Rhinolophus ferrumequinum: one gene and its partners. The protein of the gene in region 1 interacts with the protein of each later gene in a biochemical or structural test. Links are inferred from orthologs where the notes say so. Each region holds a gene or a part of one and is shown in the gene's direction. Other genes may lie near its edges.

Region 1 (7,507 bases):
TGCCAGTGACTAAAGGCAGTGTGAGTCATTTTGGGTATAGACATAAAGTGAATAGTGTGTAGACTATTTAAAAATCAGAGCGAAAAACAATATGAGGGAGCCCAGGATGTAGAGCTGATGGCGCCTGCCACAGCCCTGACCTGAGCTGGTAGGATGGAGAATAGAGGCAGTACTCACGCTCAGATGGGAGAAGATTGTGTGCAGAATCACTGATAAATACCACCAAAGCCTAAATTCCGGGAAGGTGAACGGCTGCTTTGCTTTCATGGGCATCTTTATGAAGCAAAGTGTGTAAAGATTTTTATAAAGGACAAACAAATGAAATACTTTGTACTTACAGTGATTAGAGTAAACACTGGGGTGAATGGGTTCCAGAAAGCAGAGGACTGAAATAAATGGAAACCGATCTGCAGAAACAGGACTTCAGGAAGCCATTATTCGGAAAGGAAGATGAGAGAGGCTGCCCCAGGAAAGATGTCTGAGCTACAAAACAAAAATGTTGGAGTCACCCAGAAATGGAAATGGGGGCAGAGCCAGTGAGATACCTCAGCCTCCTCAGAAGAAAAAGGGCCAAGGAGACTCTGATGTTAGATTCATGAACAGAGTTGAAGGTTCTTGAAGAACTAGAATCAAGATTTGTCATTGATAGAGACTTAATGACCAGGTAAAAACAGCTCTTTTATCTTTCTGCCAAGAACGTAGATGCCCTTGTAAGGATTATGCAAATTATAAGAGATTTTTAGCAAACACAGAGAACTAGTATATGTGTGTTAATGAAGTTGTATCAGGAATAAGAAGACTGGAATGGAATGTTGGGTGCTCAGCTAACTTTATAAATTTGAAAGACCTCCAGTATGCTGAGACCCTTAAAAATTGTCCCGAGGCACCTTTGTCCAGGTGTGTACGGAGCACCAGCCACATCTACTGAAAACTGGAGCCTTGTTGGCCTCTACACGTGGGGAGTCTTAGTTTATGACTGAGCTATCTTCACGATTTCCTGGCAAAGAATTCTGCAACTTGATTTACTGCTAGCAATTACCAAGTGGCTCCTCCTAGGAGGTATAATTTACAGTAAATTAAATGCACAGATCTTAAGAGACAGTTCATTGAATTTGACAATTGCATACACCCGTGCAGCCTTCAGTCCAATCAAGATGAGAACATTTCTATCACTCCTGAAAGTTTCTTTGGGTTCCTCTGCAGCCAATGCAGAAATCCACCAACCCACACTGGCAGCCTTTATTATGATTTTTATTCACCATAGCTTATTTTCACTGTTTTGAAACTTAGCATAGACGGTCATACAGTATGTACTCTTGTGTATCTGGCTTCTTTTGTTCAACATAAAATTTTCGAAACTTGTTTACATTATTATGTGCATCAAAGTTTGTTTCTTTTTTATTTCTGACTTGCATTACACTATGAATATACCACAATTAATTTTTCTCATTCTCCTTGATGCACATATATATTTACAGTTTTGGGCTATTATGGATGAGGCTACTGTGAACACTTCGTGGACATATGTTTTAATTTCCCTTGGAAATTGCAGTGAAATTATTGGGCATTTAACATTCAAAAAAACTACCAAACGGTTTTTTAAAGGGGACATACCAATTTACATTCCCATAATTAATATATGAGAGTTCCAATGGCTCCCTATAATCACCAACATTTGCTCTTATTGATCTTTTTAAGTTTAGCCATTCTATTGGCTGTGCAGTATTTTCTCATTGTGAATTGAATTTGCATTCATGATGAATGACATTGATGGGCTTTCATGTTTATTGGCCATTGGCTTATATGTATTATGAATATTTTTTGCCAGTCTATGACTTGCCTTTTTATTTTGTTTTCATTGCTTTTTTTAAAAAAACAACTTTAAGTGTGTTTTTCCAGGACCCGTCAGCTCCAAGTCAAGTAGTTGTTTCAATCTATTTGTGGAGGGCACAGCTCACAGTGGCCCATGTGGGAATCGAACCAGCAACTTTATTAAGAGCACTGCACTCTAACCAACTAAGCTAACCAGCTGTCCCTGTTTTCATTGCTTTTCCTGGACAAAGCTTGTAATCTTGTTGAAATTCATTTTATCAATTTTCTTTTCTTTTTTTTTAAGGAGGGCTCAGCTCACAATGGCCAATACGGGGATCAAACCGGCAACCTTGGTGTCATTAGCACCACACTCTAACCAACTGAGCTAACCTGCCACCCCTATCAATTTTTTTTAATGTTAATGTTTCATGTATCCTAAGAAATCTTTGCCTACCTCACAGTCACAGAGATAGTCTCCTATGGTTTCTTCTAGAAGCTTTGTGGTTTTCAATTTTCTGTTTTACATTAAGATCCATTTCAAATTAATTTTTGTTTATGGTATAAGTTTATGGTATAAGGGTCAAGGTTAATGTTTTTTTTCACATTATGATCCAGTTGTTCCAACACCACTTGTCTAAGAGACTTCTTTCTCCACTGAATTTCATCGATACCAATGCTGTGTTTCTAAAATTTAAAATTCAGTTCCTCATTTGCATTGGCCACATTTCAAGTTCTCAAGAGCTACAGGTGGCTTCTGGTTACCATATCAGTGGGGCGGATATTAAGTATTTGCACATCGCACAAAGTTCTGTGACAGCACTGCTCTAGACCTTAGGGCACTGTGTCTACTAAATATTTCAGATTCCGTGAAAGATAATATAAACCAAATAACAAAGTATGGACTGATATAAGGAAGTTAAAAATCAATCACTTAACTTATATGAGGCATGTAGAGTAGTCAAATTCAGAGACAAAGTAGAATGGTGGTTACCAGGGGTTTTGGAGAGGGCGAAAGGAGAGTTACTGTGAATGGATACAAACTTTCAATTTTGCAATATGAAAACAGTTCTGGAGATGGATGGTGGTGATGGTTGCAAAACAATGTGAATGTACTTAATGCCAAAGAAATGTACCCGTATGCTTCAAAATTGCTAAAATGGTAACCTATATGTTATGTATATTTTACCAATATAATTTTTTAAATTGCTGTTTACCCCAGCTTGTGTTTAGTGCAGATGAGAAAGCAATCAGAGTTACTAATGACTTAATTCTTTCTGGTATATCTGAGGGACACCCAACTGAGGTACAGAGGAGACATTGGGGCCCAGAGCCCCACTTAATTTAATGTCTATTTCCTGGGGGTATTTCCAGTAGACCCACTTTAGCTAATAGGAAAAGAGAGAAATACAAGTTGAGAGTTATTTTCCTACTATGTGTTGTCTACATATTCGTGTAATACTAAACATTTCATTCATAATGGTGACCCATGGCAAACTAACAGCAGAAGCAGTCTAGTTTTTAAATTAAAGTTCCCAAACTAAAAAAAATCAAGTCTCTAAGCACTTGATTTTGACAATTTAACTAGCAGATAATGTTGATCTATATAGCTATGTCAACAATTTAGTAAAGCATCGACTCTACTACATAAATTTAAGAAATGTCAGGGCATGTATGAATACGGTACTCTGAGGATCTTGGCTTGTGTACAATACAAGGTCTGTTTATTTAAATATTATACTTTAAAACTCTCATTAAAACTACTTAATAAAAACAATTCCAGAATTTACAACTGATTTGTGGAAAGGAAGTGAAAGGAGCAGTATTAGATGACTTGCAAACACTCATGAAGAGGCTGTGAAAATAGTCTTGCTACCCAGGAGATGAAGTGTTGACTTGATGAGTCAACCCATCCATTTAATGCCTGATTTGCATAACTGAGGCCATCTACAATGGCTGTCCTCTAGGATCTCATTTTGTCTAAGACATATTAATGAACCTGTGAATATCGTTTAGTATTGAAAATAAATATTGTAATACACTTCACAGCCTTTCAAAAGAAGCAACACTAAAAACGGTAAGTTTTCAGAAATTGCTCATGGTTTCAAATTAGGGGGTGTCTCAATTTTCATAAATTCTAAAATAAAAGCTAACTGAATATGTACTAAGCTGACTGAATATGTACTAAGCACAGTGTAAACAATTTTTGTTCTCAAATATTTATTGAAACTTTCTATATCCAAATACAATCCTATGAATACTATTATCCCCATTTTACAAATAAGTTTTCAGGGAGAAATGACATAATTAATGAATACTGAAACGGGGCTTTTACTTTGTATTTCAAAGCCAAAGTTTTAAACCATTAAATCGAGGAGCATTAACGCTCTCTAATTCTATTACCTGAAGAAACACTCCGCCCCAAGAAACCTCGCGATATTATTCAAGCTATCACTCCCAACGTGCAAAGCGGCTTACTATTATTCAGCCTATGAGCATCTGGACTGTCCAGGCACGCCTCGAGTGCGAAAAGCAGCCTGGGAGTCGTAGTTCAGGATCCCGTGTCGTCAGCGCAGCAGTGGTGGCTCACTTGGTTCCAGTCAGCGGGTTCACTGAGGGCGAGCTGAGGTGAAAAAAAAAAAAAAAAGGGGGGGCGCGGAACTGGAAAGGGTGAGTAAGACACTGTCTACGCGATAAAAGGAGGCGGCACCGCTGCGTGGGGCTGAGTTTAAAAGGTGCGGCCCCTATACAGGGAAGCGCCTATCTGCGCTGGTTAGAGCAGATTGAGGCGGAGCCGGAGCTCCGTCCTTGCCCGGGTTCTCACCTCAGCACCGCGGCCATCTCCACCATGCAGTCTCGGGAAGACGCTCCGCGCTCTCGCCGCCTCTCCAGTCCCCGTGGTGGGAGGCGGCCCAAGAGGATTTCCAAGCCCTCAGTTTCGGCTTTTTTCGCGGGCCCTGAGGAGCTGAAGGACACGGCCCATTCTGCAGCCCTGCTGGCACAGCTCAAGTCCTTCTACGACGCGCGGCTGCTGTGTGATGTGACCATCGAGGTGGTGACGCCTGGCAGTGGGCCTGGCACGGGCCGCCTCTTCCCCTGCAACCGTAACGTGCTGGCTGCCGCGTGTCCCTACTTCAAGAGCATGTTCACCGGCGGCATGTACGAGAGCCAGCAGGCAAACGTGACCATGCACGATGTGGATGCCGAGTCCTTCGAGGTGTTGGTCGAATACTGCTACACGGGTCGCGTGTCGCTAAGCGAGTCCAACGTGCAGCGCCTTTATGCAGCCTCGGACATGTTACAGCTCGAGTACGTGCGGGAAGCCTGTGCCTCCTTCCTAGCCCGCCGCCTTGACCTGGCCAACTGCACCGCCATTCTCAAGTTCGCCGACGCCTTCGACCACCACAAGCTGCGCTCACAGGCCCAGTCCTTCATCGCCCACAACTTCAAGCAGCTCAGCCGGATGGGTTCGATTCGGGAGGAGACCCTGGCAGATCTGACTTTGGCCCAGCTGCTGGCCGTGCTGCGCCTGGATAGTTTAAACATCGAGAGTGAGCAAACGGTGTGTCACGTGGCGGTGCAGTGGTTGGAAGCGGCTCCCAAGGAGCGGGGTCCCAGCGCTGCGGAAGTCTTCAAGTGTGTCCGCTGGACACACTTCACTGATGAAGATCAGGATTACCTGGAAGCGCTGCTAACCAAGCCCATTGTGAAGAAGTACTGTCTGGACCTTATTGAAGGGGCCCTGCAGATGCGATATGGTGACATACTGTACAAGTCTCTGGTGCCAAAGCCAGAGTGCAGCAGCAGCTCTGTTGTTTCTGCAGCAGAAAATCCACCCCAGAGGCTGGGTGTGTGTGCCAAGGAGATGGTGATCTTCTTTGGACATCCCAGAGATCCCTTTCTCTGCTATGACCCATACTCAGGGGACATTTACACAATGCCCTCACCTTTGACCAGCTTGGCCCACACTAAGACTATCACCTCCTCAGCTGTCTGCGTCTCTCCAGACCATGACATCTATCTAGCTGCCCAGCCCAGGAAAGACCTCTGGGTGTATAAACCAGCCCAGAACAGTTGGCAGCAACTTGCAGATCGCTTGCTCTGCCGTGAGGGCATGGATGTGGCATACCTTAATGGGTACATTTACATCTTGGGTGGGCGAGACCCTATTACTGGAGTTAAATTGAAGGAAGTGGAATGCTACAGTGTTCAGAGAAACCAGTGGGCACTGGTGGCTCCTGTTCCCCACTCCTTCTATTCCTTCGAATTAATAGTGGTTCAGAACTATCTTTATGCTGTGAACAGTAAACGCATGCTCTGCTATGATCCTAGTCACAATATGTGGTTGAACTGTGCTTCTCTTAAACGTAGTGACTTTCAGGAAGCCTGTGTCTTCAATGATGAGATCTATTGCATCTGTGACATCCCCGTCATGAAGGTCTATAACCCAGCCAGGGGAGAATGGCGGAGGATTAGTAATATTCCCCTGGACTCAGAGACCCACAACTATCAGATTGTCAATCATGGCCAAAAGTTGCTTCTCATCACTTCTACCACCCCACAATGGAAAAAAAACCGGGTGACTGTGTACGAATATGATACTAGGGAAGACCTATGGATTAATATAGGCACAATGTTAGGTCTTTTGCAGTTTGACTCGGGCTTTATTTGCCTCTGTGCTCGTGTTTATCCTTCTTGCCTTGAACCTGGTCAGAGTTTCATCACTGAGGAAGATGATGCACGGAGTGAGTCTAGTACTGAATGGGACTTAGATGGATTCAGTGAGCTGGACTCTGAGTCAGGAAGTTCAAGTTCTTTTTCTGATGATGAAGTCTGGGTGCAGGTAGCACCTCAGCGAAATGCACAGGATCCGCAGGGCTCTTTGTAAATATTTGGAAACACTACAGGTGATTCTACTGCTATGGAATGTATTTTAAAAAGATATCCTTTCCTTTTCCTGAAAAAAAAATTGATTAGTACCACAGATTTGGTTTAGAAAGCGTAATGTTGAATTACTTATGTAACGTTCCAAAATTTAAAAACAGTCCACAAAATTAACCTATATAATAATTTACTGTGCTAAAAGTCGAGATTAAAATATGCAAAAAATGAAGTGTACAATTGATTAAAATGCTTGGTGGTTTTTTTCATTGTTCAAGTATTCATTGTACCAGTGAATTGTTATGGTTAGTTACACTGCTTATATTTTGGTTATCTAATTTAGTCTTCAGTTAACTTTTTAATTCTATTTAGTGCCACGAGGCATTTAACTTTTTAAGTTTTATAATAGAAAATTGGACTAGAAAGTGTTGCTATGGTTTTGAAGGTTTATATTTTCCTTCAGAATAATGAAAATAGATTTACCAAATTCTAAAGTAGTCAGTTTTTAGTATTCTAGGTTAATATAGTTTGTTAAATTTGGTTTCGTTTTCTTCCCTTTTGCAAAGGAAAGAAATTGAACATATAAAGATTATTAAATAGCGATTTCATTTTGATATAGTGCAGAATGGTCTTAAGAGCTCACAGAAAATAAAAATAAATCAGGATTCCACTGTTTTAAAAGAAATTTAGCTTCTAATTTTGGAATATAAAATGTATATTTAATAAATGTGACCATTTTTTAATCTAAAACACATCCATTCTAGTAGTGTCACCAATTATTTAAACACCCTTCTAAACCAAAAGAGAAATAAATAAC
Region 2 (6,913 bases), on another chromosome or scaffold:
GTTGATCAGATAAACAAGTCTTACTGGTAGGCAGCCTTTTAAAGGGCACTTGATGATAAAAAGCAAAAAATAAAACGGAATGACATAACTTTGAATTTCAGCTTTCTGCCTTGAGATTCCTCCTGGATGTTCCCTTCTCATCCTGAGTGAGTCGTATCAGGACGGGATGTCTGGGCCTCCAGGCGACAGCAGGAGCCACTCTCATACATCTCCTATCCCCCCGCCATGGACCCTGTGAAGCCGCCAAGTCCAGGCAATGTACTGAAGGAGTCATGCGACATTCTGCGGCAGCCTCCAGAACCTCTCTCCTCCCTGACGTGGACACAGTGATGAAGACTTCCTTCTTCTCAGCCCGCCAGCTTGCAGCGGCCTCTCACTTTAGACGTGCACATTTCACTTCCATGGTGTCATAACTGTCCACCCAGTTTCCCACTAGAATCAGAGCTTGTAGCCAAGAGGGATGAATGACAGCAGCCACAATAGGACAGGACAGGAACCAAGATGGATCTGTCCTAGTCACCCCGAGCCCCACACACCCACAGGTGCCAAGGGACAGGCCTATTTTAACTCACATAGGAGAAACTGAGTCACCTTGGGAAACTCCTCAGCAATGGTTCAAATCATCCCCGGAAAGCATATAGAGCAAGAAGAGGACTGGGTGGGCCCAGGGAAAGGCCAAGATCAAGGGACAGGAGAAGTGGCACTGGTGACTCTAAACTTTGCACATAGCAAGGGCCTGGGCAGCAATGAGAAGGGAAGGATGGCAATCGTCGGGGGCTCATGCTAAAGCTCCATGGGCACAGCGACGATGCAGCTGTTACACACAACTGCCTGCGATGGATGCGGTGACCGATCGCTACAGGGCCAGAAACATAGAACAGTTTCTATTCACATAAGAAATGAGAATTTATTATGGATAAATGGATATTCTGTTTATCTCCTTAGGGGTTCTGAGGAGAACTGGCTCTGCAAATGAGGGAGAGGCAGCTGGAGAAGGGAGGAGACGGTGGGGGGAGAAGAACCCCAAGAAAATGGAATCCTGGAATCTGAAAGACGAGAGTTGTTGGAAGGAGAAAATGCACACGGCCACATGCTGAAGGACGAAAGATCAAATAAGGTAAGGGCTACAAAGAGGTGCTGGTGTGTATTATTGCTGACCTCCTGAGAGCATGCATTAGTGTCGGGACAGACTCCAGACTGCAGGGGTTTACGGAGCGGAGAGGCAGTGAGCTAAGTGGAAAGACTGAGCTCGGCCAACTCTTGCAAAAGGTTCAGGAAGTGTGAGTAGCGGGGGCTGGGCTCCCAGCTCCACAGGCCACGAGCAGTATGAGAGACGTCATATTATGAGCTCCTACTGTCACCCATATCTCTGTGTACATCACGCAGATTCCCACCTTTCATCTCCACACGACTCTCTGAGATGAGAAAGCATGTCCATTCTGCTAAGGAGGACCGTGAGGCTCAAAGAAGTTAAGTAAGCAAGATGTAGAGCCCAGGTGCGTTGTCAAAGTTTTGCTTTCCATGACAGTCACATGTCTGGAAGAGGCAAGAGAAAGTTGACTGGTTGTTCTTTTAAAAGGAGGGTGGGGCATAGGTGTGTTTATGGGAGGAGGGGAATAAATCTTCCCTAACCCAACAGCAAGTGTCCCACTCTCTGCCACCTCTTATTTTACTAGCTCACTCTCTTTTGTACCAGGATTCCATGTGTCCTGTCACCAGCCCCCTTCCCAGTACATGGGTCAGACAGAGGGATGAGAGTGGGTGAAAGTGTAGGGTAGAGGGAATCAACATGGCCTCAGCCAGCTCGTGTTTCATGTGCTTTGTGTGCAGGACAAAGAAGTGCAATATTTCCCACTGTACATCATGGGCAGTGTCGGTTTTGTTTATTAAAATATCAGTAGATGGGCTCCTGGACCAAGCCTAGGCACTCTGGCACCAGCCATTTTCCACAGTGCTATTCCTATCTCCTTCCCTACACAACCTGTGTGGCGCGACATTATGTGTCTTTGGTTACCTTCTGCCAACTAGGTTCCAAGGACCGTGATGGGGCCCACAGTACCCATGGACACTCTGCTCTTCTCAAAAAGGAAACTTTGCAACAAAAGAGAAACAATATAGCCATTCCTCTGCTGAATGATGATACATTCTGAGTATTGCCACATTTTAATATTTTCCCAAGTCCTTTATTCTGTCACCCCCATTACATCCGGAGAAGTAGACTTGGCCGAGATGATAATCCTACGTGCCAGAGGAGAAAGCGAAATGCCGGGCAGGTAGGAAACGTCTCAATGTTTCCTCCCAATAACGATTGGCCAAACAGTGCAGCTGGGGGTTATTTTTCCCTGGTCCCCAACCCAGTGCTATTGCCTTCAGCCTTCAAACCTGATGTCATGTGAACTTTCCTGGGATTGTGGGGGCTTTGAAGAGGCCTGGTGGGGAGAGAGACATACACACTGAGCATCAGATTTAGTGCCAGGCACTGTACTAGCTGCTTTACATAATCAGTTCATGTAAGTCTCATACACATACTCTGAATTAGGTAAAACTAACCACTTTAATGAGGTAAAAATAATCATTTTGCAAAAAGGGAAAACATACTTAGTAAAGTGAAATAATTTATCCAAGATCAGAAATGGAGGTGATAGTAGGGAGGGCCAGGCCTGGAACCAGTTTTTCCTGGTCCAGGATGTGGAGCCACCCCTGGGAAGTGGACGGTCTGGGTTGGCCCCACCTCAGTGTATTCTGGGTAGACATGGATCTGCAAAACGCTCATCCTACCTGCCCTTCCCACCCCCACAAGGCAATCGTTTCAATGAGATCATGGATTTGAAAGCCACGAGATTCCAGAACTGCACTATATACCTGCTCTTTGTTATCGAGAGACAAGGATAGAGAGACAGAGAGACAGAGAATGGGAGAGGGTGAGGCCACGCCTCTCTTCAGTGATGTCATCACTTAATCACTTGATGTCCATTCCTGATCACTAACTTAAAGCTCTGAGAGCTGCTCCCTTTGATTCACCCAGCAAATGTGGACGACCTACCATCATCTTCCTTTACGGCACTCTGTTCATTTGAAGCCTCCTCACTCTGTTGAATGACCTTGCTGGGAAATCAATGAAGGAAGGACACATACTCCTTCTGTTCATTCTGAGTCTAAAGGTCCAGCTAAATGGCATATGTATCAGAGACAAGCCCTGGACTCTGGGTCCTGCGAGAACTGTGTCTTCCCAGCCATTTGGCCCAGGCAAATCAGTTAACTTCTATTGGCTTCTGTTCCTTGTCTCTTAAAGGGAGACCTTGGGGGTAATAACTGTGCTTCCTTTCCTCCATTATTGCAGAGAAGATAAGATAACAGAATATACTGGAGTGTAGCACTACTTGGTACCAAATCTGGGTTTTAATCCCAGCTGCCTCTCTTACTAGCTGTGTGACCTTGGGCAAATTCCTTAACATTTCTGATCATAGTTTTCTCGCTGAGAAAAATGGCAAGGACTGTTGTGAGACTTACATAGCCTATTTCAGCATCAGGTGGATCCATCTTGGCCTTCCTTCAAGATGGTTCATTACTGAAGTACGAAAAGGTCCTCTGCAAATGGCAGTTCCACCTCTCCAGAGTTCTCAGCCTCAAACTATGCTGTTTGATTACATAGTCACTGATTTTATTATGAACCCTAATTTCTCCAGCAAAAAAAATTATCTTGAACTGATCCTGAGCAAAGTGACTTTCTCTGACCAATAAGCAGGTGGCTGTCCCGTTTCAATCCTCAGAACTGACCTCCTCCTGCCCAGCGAGGGGGAGAGGGGGAGGGTAAAGAAGAGGGAAAGGGCTGATGTCACACAGCCCTACATAAGGGCCTCCTTTAGCCTCCTGCAGGCGGGTTGGAAGCAGCTGGAGGAATGAGTTAGGTCCTGGCTGTGGATTTTTTTTTTTTTTTTTTTTAAGCCAGACACAGACAGGGCTGTTGAGCAAAATGCAGACTCCGCAGAAAAGCCCAAGCCTCAGACCATTCAAGCAGAGGAAGAGCTTAGGTAAAGTTCTCGGGTAGCTGTCTGGGTTGCCAGACAGAGAAGGAAAAGGATACAGACTGCTCTCGCCGTTTCCTTACTCTTTTGTACTTGAAATATTCACAGCAACCAGACAAGAGGAAGTGGCTGGAATCCGGGCAAAGTTCCCAAACAAGATCCCGGTAAGACTCCATTGTACTTTTGGAAAAGGGGTACACTATTCTGTTGCTTGGGAAAAAAAATAATAATAATAACAACAACAGGAACAAAAAACCCACTCTCTCTGTCTCCCTGTTGTAAGACTCTAAGATACTGAGAGTTCTGAGTCACATTCTTAAGGGCGGAAACTCCCGACAGGTGGTAGTGGAGCGCTATTCCAGGGAGAAGTTCCTGCCCCCGCTGGACAAGACTAAGTTCCTGGTCCCCCAGGAGCTGACCGTGGCCCAGTTCCTCAGCATCATACGGTAGGTGACACGGTGCTCGTGGGGACGTGTGCATGGTCCTGGGCTTCTTCTGTTTGCTTTGATAGTTTGTTTGGTATTGAGGATAGGGGGGTGGGGTGGCGTCCCAGAAGAAGAGAGGGAAAGGATTTTCTTTGTGACTCACCACCTTGTAGGTTCTGCAGTGCCCAGAAAAGATGCTCTGAGAATTCATCTATTTTAAACAGGTGGGAGAACCTCTGAGATAACAAATCTAAAGACAGTCAGAGCTGCTAACATTTCTAAGAATTTCCTAAAGTAGTCTTGGTTCCAAAACGAGTCCAGAAGATCCTTTCTTCCTAATAGTGTGGAAAACCTGGCCAGTGTTTTCCCAGTAGAGACACGGCACCTTGTTGGAGTGTGCGAGCCTGGGGAGTGGAGACCTCTACAAAAGGCAAATGTTCCCCACACTGCTCAGAGTCTGAGAAGCGGGACACAAAGGTGTCCCCAGAACACATTCCTCCCTTGGGTTAGGGCACAGCAAAGAGGTAGTAACTACTTTTAAAGCTGAAGACAGTGAAGTGGTGTCACCTGACCCATGGATTCAATACAAATGACTGGGGAGTAATGTGGACATGACCTGGTAGGTAATCCTTCACAGGGTGAAGTCTGGAAGGGCCAGCCCTTGGAAACCCGATAACTGTTGCAGCTTATTTCTTCAAGAATTCATTATAAATATGTTAATCTCTGTTCTATTTGTTTCAATAAGTAAGATTATTCTGATTCCTCTCCTCAGGGAGGCTTAGTGACTGCAGGCAACTGAGGGAGAACGAGAATAAGAATTAGATCCCAACAACTTGATGCAACAGTAGATGACCTCCCTCCTCCAACAAGCCTTTGAGTTCTGAGAGGCATTCTTTCCCCCCTTCCTAGTCAGGGGCCTTCCTGTCTTCTCCACCACCCCTCGCCCACACCCCAATCCGCACGTTTGATGTTCACAGTGTTTATTGAGCACCAACTATGTCCTGAGTGTTCTCTGGGCTCTGTGTTCACAGCAGTGGACAGAATAGAACAAATTCCTGCCCTCGGCCTTCTCCCCCAGGGGGTAAGCCACAACCCTCATAACAAGGGAGCATGGCAGAGACAGGAAATGGAGGTACAGACTCCGGAAACAGAGCTTCCTTCAGAGCTAATGGCAACACACTCCCTCCCAGCTCTACCCCTTCCCGTTGCAGAACAGTTCTTTTTTATCCAAAGACCACTCATGCAATTGTGAGCTAAAATCTTTGGGGTTATTCTGGAAGGGATTCGCTGGTTGTATAATTACTCAGGCTCCAGCCACCCCCGTCTCCCACGGCTGCATGGATCTAGCTCACCTGACCTCTGAGGCTGAAGTGGGCAGGCTGTGCCTGCCCCCCCAAGCAGAGCAAATGGATATGCGCTTCAGGCCAGGCTGAGCCTTTACCTGAGTGTAACGTTGTCATGCTGTCCTCTACTCCAGGGTGAATCAGGACTTAGATTGACCTTGACTTGTAAAGCGTGTCCAGTCAAATTTGACTGCTTTGCTATCTCCTTGATGTTAGGGGAAGAAGGGCAGGGGGAAGGAAGAGCACAGTGAGAGGCAGTAGATTGCTTCTAAAGGTCCCCCAAGGCTGTGTAATATGAGATGCTGAAGGAAATTGGGATCCCCTTTGTACTTCTGGGGAAATACTTACCTTTAATTTCAGAGCAAAGAGGGGCTTCCACATTAGCATTTTTGTGTTGGTGTGTCTCCTAGTCCATGATGGGAACGCCTGCCCTTTTTTGCGGAAGAAGTAGGGAGCAATTCAGCTGTCTTGAGCATCACACTCCTGCAGATTCCTACCTAGGCTGCTTCTGAGATCTACTAAACCAAATGCTGTGGGCTGCAGCCCAGGAATGTGCATGTTCAACAGGCCTCTCCTGGGTGATTCTCAATTTTGAGGAGACACACCAGAGTGGGGAGGTGGGCATCTTGGATGGACGTGTTTACAGTGGCCACCGGAGGTAAGGCTTTGGCTCCATGCCCTTTCCCACCAGGTTAGCTTTCTCCCTTCCTGCCCCTCTCCCCATGCCAGGAGCCACATGGTCCTCGGGGCCACTGAAGCCTTTTACTTGCTAGTGAACAGCAAGAGTACGGTCAGCATGAGCATGACCATGGCCGAGATCTACAGGGACTACCGGGACGAGGACGGCTTCGTGTACATGACCTACGCCTCCCAGGAGATGTTCGGCTGAGGGGCCCCGAGGCGCCAGGGATGGCGCAGCCGGCGGGGCGGGCCCTGCCATCCTCTCCAGCTGCGGGACCAACCGAGCGGCTTCCTCCTGTGCGCGGTGGACCCACGGGAGCAGGGCCGCCCCGCAGGAGCCGCGCCCACGGGACAGGTAGGCCGGCGCCCTGTCCCCTTTAGTGCGCATGCCCTGTGTTCTCTGGGAAAACGCGGTGCCCCTGGGAGTTTTGTAAATAAT
Region 3 (7,068 bases), on another chromosome or scaffold:
TCCCTTTTGTCAGCTTTGGAGGCTGAATTGCAGGAAGTGATGTAACTTGCAGGGATCTGAATGTCTGAGTTGGTTTTATACTCAACTTCCTCAGGCTTGAAATACCAAATGGAAAAAACTTTTGCTCTTATTTTTAAATTTAATTTTATTATTTGAATTAAATGTATGCATTTATGAAGATTAAAAAGTCAAAGAGCTCTATAAGGATTGTGAAGAAAAATAGCACCTTCCCACTACCCCCGTACATGTACGCATACGCCCTACTTTTTCAGCTGACTTTGTAAAATCTACATTTCAACAAATACTATGCATATATTGCTATTCTTGATTTTTATGTTCAGTTTGGTGCATCATCTATCAACTTGCCGTTATAGAAGAAATAAAATTTACCCCTTTTCGTTACCATGATCCCTACCTTTGCTACCATGACACATCTGAACATTTCTTGTGCCTCCTATCTTCTAAGCATAGTTATATCGTAATTTTAATTAGATGAGTATAATGGGTCGTGGCAAAAAGACTATTATTGAATAAGAGGCTAAAACCAGGCTTTTGGGCTTTTTCCTTACTCCTTGTCCAATCATGGTGTAGTCACTTAATCATTCTATGCTTCAAATTCTTAAGTTGTAAAATGATAAAATGAGTACATATACATTATATTATTATGTGTGGATTACAGGGGTTAATGCATATACACATACTATACATAAAGCATGTATATTAAATCCTCTTTCCTTTTTGCATGTCTTTCTCTTTGTCGAAATGCTCTCCTTTTTAGAAGGCCACCAATTATACTGGATTAAGGCCTACCCTAATGACCTCATCTTTTGATTATCTGCAAAGACCCTATTTGTAAAGTCACATTTATAGATACTGGGTGTTGAGACTTCAACATTTCTTCAGGGGACATAATTGAACCTATGACACAGTTGATTTAGTGGATTTTCAGGAGACAACAAAGAAAACTATATCTTTTTCAATCCACCATCTTAAATCAGTAGTCTACCCTTTGCTTTCTTGACTATGACATTGTCATGCACGGTGTCATGCAGGGTCTCAGCTCCCGCTCCCCACATAAGAATGCAGGATATGGTGAGGCCAAAAAGGAACACCCACGGAGCCATAGATAGGAGAGTCATACCGCTATAGTCTCACTGGCGCCTGGGTTGGAGACACAGGAAGCAGGAGCCACACGATCTGCAACCCGCCGTCCACTTGTTTCTGCCAACCAACCTCACTTGCTAACTGCAATCCGCCTCTCTGCAATCCGCAATCCACACTCTGCTGTGCTAACTGCAATCTGCTCTTGCTAGCTTAGCCACCACCTTCTTGCCAGCCCCCATTTTCTGTTAGCGTAGCCACAGCAGTTATATTAGTGGCCAATGGCTCACTGGTTACAGCTGACGGCCAACTAGCCACAGCTGATGGCCATCCCATCACAGTTGATGGCCATTTACTACCCCAGTGAGCACCTTTCCACGTGAGGGTGAGAGCCTGGAAACTGCGCTCCTGGCTCTGTCCCCATAGACATACTATGCACTTTTTGAGTCTTCATTTTGTATCCAAAGCATTGAGGATATAAATACAAGTAACATGTTACCAAATAGCACAGAGACTACCTGAAACTAGGGACTTAAATGCCATTAGTTCTCCCTCCAACTCTATCTTTACATTTATCTCTATCCCTATCTATACATCATGAGTCTCTGACTGACATCTTCTTTATCTTTCTTATGTTGGACTGGTGCATTTAGACTGCAAATTTAGATTTTATGAAATGAATACAGTGGCTACTGTAAGCCTCTGATCGTACATCATCAAAACGCCATAATTAAAAAAGGGACTTATTTCTCTAGCCTCATATATAGCCATTTCGTATTTTGTAGTCTATGTTCCAGGCATACTAAATTATTTAAATTACTTCTTTCCCTATATTGCCCTTATTTATGGTCATTGGATATCGTCAAATGATCTTCCTGTAAAAACATTTTCTCCTATTTTTTTTTCTTTTTTTTGGCCTAATTCCTGTAAATCATTTGGAGCTTAGTTCAGGCATCGCCTTCTTCAGGAAGCCTTTCTTTTAACCCCCATTTGCCTGGGTCCCTCTGTGTCTTTACAATGTGCTCTGAAAGCATTGTGTGCTTATTTTTGTCACAGGACACATAAATGATGTATTGTTCATTAGATAATACCATGTCCATTCCTTCTCTCTTTTTTTTTTTTTTGGCGGCGGAGGTATACATTGCTTTGTAGGAAGCTACTCCTCCCACACTAACCACTGCGTAGTTCTAGTGGGACCCACAAATCATAGATTCTCACTGCCTTGACCATTAAGAAGGCCAGGTGACTTATAAAAGACTAATCAGAATCTTTCCTTAAAATTTCTCACATATGAACTAAGAGAATATTACATTTTGTGTAATATATTAAATGTTATGCTGAGAATACAGGCAGAGAGCAAACTTTGGAAGTTCACAGATTGTGTATTCTACAATAAAGCATTAGCATTTAGAAAAGCCTTGAGGCAGAAAGATTAATCGAAATTCCATCTCCAAATTATTTTTCATATATAAATTGCCACTGTGCTTAGGTATTTTTAAAAGTTAAAATCAGTATTTTTAACTAGCTACGATTGTTTCCAGTAGATTTGATCATAGAATAATAGTCTTAAAATATTAATCTTCATCGTAATTACTTTTCTCAACTGGTTGTAAGGTTCTCCTTTGAGACATTTAGCTCTATTTGAACCGAAGCTAAAATAAGCTGAAAATTTCAATTTGAAAATAAGGAATAAAAATTATAAAAATATAATGTGATAAAATAATTCCTGGATTTTCACACATAAAAAGGACTGAAAGATACCATGGAGAAAAAAAATTAACATCAAGAAGTAGGGCTATGTAATTCATTCTCGTTTCAATAATGAAACTCAGTTTCTTTTGTGGATTTGTTTTTTAAATCAGAGACACTGAGACCTTGACAAAAGTAGATAGGGGCTGCCATTTTCTAATATATTAATAGTTAGCAGAGCTCCCTTGTTTTGGGCAGACCAGCCTGTCCTCACCCTTATCTTTCACAATTTCCTCTGTCCCCCACCATAGGTTCCTGGAATCACTGCCAGGAACAGTGGTTGGAAAGGCCTTAGTCCTTTTGATTCTTGTTGGAGAAAGGGGAGGGCCAGAGAGAGGTGATACTGGCACCTGGCCCACCACCCAGAGTCCTCCACTCCCCCTTTTCAGGTGGCACTTTCTATTCACATTAGGGATACTTAACCAGTACTAACCTTCAGGTGAATTTTTGCATAAGAGAAAAGAATGTTTGAGAACCACTGAGTTAATCACTTAGATCACTTGATATTTTCTTTTCCATCAGATAGGCCCAACTTCTGCGTTAATAGGAGAAAATGAATCATTTCTATATTTGAAAAGGCGTGAAGCCCTTAGTAGTTAAGACTGACACCACTTCTCTGGACCTTGATTACATCTGATGTCCTTTACCTAATGTGTCTTTTCAAATTCCTGAGTCACGTTTTGTTTACGTTCCTGCTCCAGGAACAAATTGCAACTGCGGCATGGACCCAAACAAAATGACGCGAACGTGGTGAAGGAAGGGTCACGGTCAGAGGAAGCCAGCCTAGCTCCCGAGGTTCCTGGAGGTGGCAAATGAAGGAGCAAAGGGCAAAATGCAAGTGCCTGGCACGTCTGCACTGGCCAAATAAACTCCAGGACCCTGATCCCTCCTTCCCCCAGACTTCAGATCCTAACAAGCTGGAAAAAGCTGGATTTTCTTCCAGTGTGTTTGTTTTTGGATCCAACCAAGAAACAGCGAGGGAGAGGGAAAAAGACATCTTTAGAAAATGTTTTGTTTTAAAACCACCTTTAATGCCACATTATCAATAAAATAAGAAGTAAAAACTGTTCTCATTTGCATGAGAACTCTGTTCAGGTAAAGTTTCGATAGAAGAAGAATACACTGAAACCGACAGTGTCTGTCCACCCCCAACTCGCGCGGTCCAGAGCGCTGGGGGCGGGATGAAGGGCGGGGCGCCGTGACGTCACAATACCAACGCGCCGCCGTGTTGTTATTGTGTTGCCAGCTCTCGGGAAAAGCCACCGGGAATTCTTTACCTGGCCATCTCCTACTTGCAGGCTAGGGCACCCGAGATCCCTTCAGAAGCTCTACCAAGCTGCGTTGCGACAGGAGCTGCCATTTCTGAAGCGATTCCGACACATTGAAATTTGGCGGAGGGAATAAGACCCAAGAGACGCAATCATCAGCGAGGAAGGCAGGCCCCGTCCGGGGATCTTAGAAACCCTGCGGTTCATCATGAAGTTCCAGTATAAGGAGGACCATCCATTTGAGTATCGGAAAAAGGAAGGAGAAAAGATCCGGAAGAAATATCCTGATAGGGTCCCTGTGAGTGCAAGGGGAGCGGGAAGGGGGAGGAGAAGGGAATATCGGGGGGCGGGAGAGTCGTGATGGCTGCCCTAAGGCACTGAAGAACGCTGGTCCCTAAAATTACTTACCCCTGAATGGCCTTCACTGCGAGGAGAGCCAATGGAATGGACGTTCTGACTGCGGACCTTTTAAAACCTGTATCCCCGGGGCCCATACCCATCTTTAGAGCTGACCGCTTCCTTTGAGCGGAGCCTACGTTTGAGTGACTCAGCAGTATTCAGAGGCTATTTAGGTTGTGATGTGCTCAAAATGTGGCCCTTCTGTGCGAGAATGATTCGGTCAGGACCACACATTTGCTGCCTTTGAGATCGCAGGGAAGTTTTCTGGGAATAATTGATGCCGTGGGGATTGCTCCCATAGATTTCTGTTTCTCCCTTAATCAAGTTGACTTCAGTCCTCGTAGCATTGGCTTTGGGAGGGAAAGGCTGGGAAGCCAGGGAATCCTTTTATACTGTGAGGACTGGGAGTTGGGGGGCAGGGGGCTGCCACAAGACAGGACTGGCCCAGAAAACAAGGTCACGTTCTCTGCGCAACAGCCGGGTTGCCTCATCATTCTTGGCTCCGGCGACATGTACGGGGGCAGCCAGCCTTCCCCGGTACCTATCTGATTAGATTGTAGCTGGGCACAATCAAGAAGGACTAAGGCCTTTTTCTCTCCGTTTTGAACCCTGGTTTATGTAATTAAATCTCGTGTAGGCAGCGAGGAGGAACAGAGGAGAAATATTAAGGTATCTTTCTGCATCCGGGCGTTTTTCCCATCACCCCTCCCCCGCCACTTGCCTGGTTTTTCTCTCCTGTGGGCTGCGCAGCCGGATTGGAAGGCAGACGACTTAAGTGTGGTAGAGGGAACAACCGTTGAATTTTGGAAATGGAGGAGCGGAGACTTTTAAGATTGTGCTCTTTATCTTCAGACAGGGTCATTAAGATAAATGTTACAAATAATTTACAGGTGAAGGAATTGCGATGATCTGATTTGCTTTTTTGACCCGCAGGTACTCTTTGGGCCTCCTCTCCAATCCTTAATCTGTCATGGTCTCACAGCTACCAGAAGAAGCCTGGGCTTTAGGCCAGCGGTATAAACCCCTTGCCGTCCTTTTCCTATAAGGAAGAGGAGACTTGAGGGCTGGTTTCATTCATTCCCTGGGAGTTGCACACAAAAGAGATCCTTCCCTAATCCTTCCCTCCCTGGTCCCTGGACCTTGAATGACAACTATAAAATTTTCTCCCAATTCTGGTGATACTCTATTATAATAACATTTAGAAGTGACAAGTAACTTTTATTGATAGTTTACCATGTGCCTGGGCGTATTCTGAATACTGTGTCTATAGTCATTCACTTAATCCTCACACCATTATAATGCCCATCCTACAGATGAAGACTGAAGCACAGAGAAGTGATTTCCTAAAATTTTCACATGGCTCTTCTGTGGCAGACCCCAGATTGCAGCTGGTTTGCTATTTCTATTAGCATTCTAATGCAGTTCTATTAGACAGAATTAAGGGTGCACTGTGTACCTCACAGTCTTAGGTATTGGAAATAGAGAAAAGAACTCTTGTTTCCCTTAAGAGTTCACAGAGCAGTATGAGGCTCTGTTCCAGTAGCTCTGTGTAAGTTACAAACTCTGAAATGTACCAGTTCCCAAATTGAGGTGAAATTCCCATGGGTTTCCTTAAAACCAAACCCTTCCCATTTCAATCATTTACATGCTTTCACCCAGAATATTTCTGCTCATCACCCCACCCCCACTGTTGTTTTGCTGCTCATAATTTGGAGTTAAATGTTTTACAAAACTGTTTAATTTGTAAGCTATTAGGACCATCAGTCAGTTCTCCTGGTCCCTCCAGTTATCTTTTAACCAGTGATAAGCCTTCCAACTGCTCCTTAGGTACTCAGCCTATGACCTTCTTTCTAGTTGTGACGCAGGAGGAAGAGCTCTGCTGTCTTGAGTTCTGAGATTTGATTCCAGTTCCAGGCACAACCCTTAATCTTGCTGTGCTAAAGTGTCCTGTTTACAAAAAAAGAGGGTTAGAGTAAATGATTTTCAAAGCCCCTTTCAGCTGGACCATTGGTGGTACAGCAATCACATACCCTGACTGTTCACATAACTCAAGCTTAACCCCAACAATATCTCTAGAGCTGCCATACCTGACTATGTGTGCATGTGCCTTGGGAGAGGAGGGTTTCATGGGCTCTTGCAATGATCTTAATAGCTACAGTGTATTGAAAACCTGCAACATAGCAGGAAACTGTTAGGAACAGATTGTATATATATATTTTTTAATTCAGGAACAGCCCTAAGGAGTATTAGCCACATTTCATTTTGCAGAAAAACAGAGAAGCAGACAGGAAAAGCAGCTAACCCAGGGCCCACTGTGGAGTAGAGCTGGGATTCCTGAAAACCGAAATATTTTCTGGTAAACCAGGGCCTAAATGATTACTCCTCCTCTTCCTGTTCCCCTCCAAGTCCCTCCTCCCCTGCTGATATTTTCTTTGCGGTTGGCTAGCTTTATTGCCCTCTTTCTGCTAGCTTCTTGTGGTTTCCATCTCTTGATTGGAGCTGGAGCTGCCAGGTCTCAGAGCTCCTGCTAGACACAGTGCTATGTGTCCTG

The links.
Region 2: the proteins of KBTBD7 (region 1) and MAP1LC3C form a complex in vitro, tested with the Homo sapiens proteins (2 studies listed by BioGRID and IntAct, with this or other methods). The link is inferred for Rhinolophus ferrumequinum from reciprocal best matches to the Homo sapiens genes KBTBD7 and MAP1LC3C.
Region 3: the proteins of KBTBD7 (region 1) and GABARAPL1 form a complex in vitro, tested with the Homo sapiens proteins (2 studies listed by BioGRID and IntAct, with this or other methods). The link is inferred for Rhinolophus ferrumequinum from reciprocal best matches to the Homo sapiens genes KBTBD7 and GABARAPL1.

What each region holds. Positions count from the first base shown.
Region 1 is NC_046287.1:8,877,883-8,885,389, forward strand, and holds the start of KBTBD7 (kelch repeat and BTB domain-containing protein 7), read left to right. Parts: upstream 1-4,491; 5' UTR 4,492-4,657; coding exon 4,658-6,697; 3' UTR 6,698-7,507. UniProt on the Homo sapiens protein: As part of the CUL3(KBTBD6/7) E3 ubiquitin ligase complex functions as a substrate adapter for the RAC1 guanine exchange factor (GEF) TIAM1, mediating its 'Lys-48' ubiquitination and proteasomal degradation.
Region 2 is NC_046310.1:18,307,896-18,314,808, forward strand, and holds the start of MAP1LC3C (microtubule-associated proteins 1A/1B light chain 3C), read left to right. Parts: upstream 1-3,899; 5' UTR 3,900-3,973; coding exon 3,974-4,031; intron 4,032-4,133; coding exon 4,134-4,189; intron 4,190-4,364; coding exon 4,365-4,471; intron 4,472-6,522; coding exon 6,523-6,682; 3' UTR 6,683-6,913.
Region 3 is NC_046293.1:25,902,297-25,909,364, forward strand, and holds the start of GABARAPL1 (gamma-aminobutyric acid receptor-associated protein-like 1), read left to right. Parts: upstream 1-4,054; 5' UTR 4,055-4,326; coding exon 4,327-4,416; intron 4,417-7,068. UniProt on the Homo sapiens protein: Ubiquitin-like modifier that increases cell-surface expression of kappa-type opioid receptor through facilitating anterograde intracellular trafficking of the receptor. Involved in formation of autophagosomal vacuoles.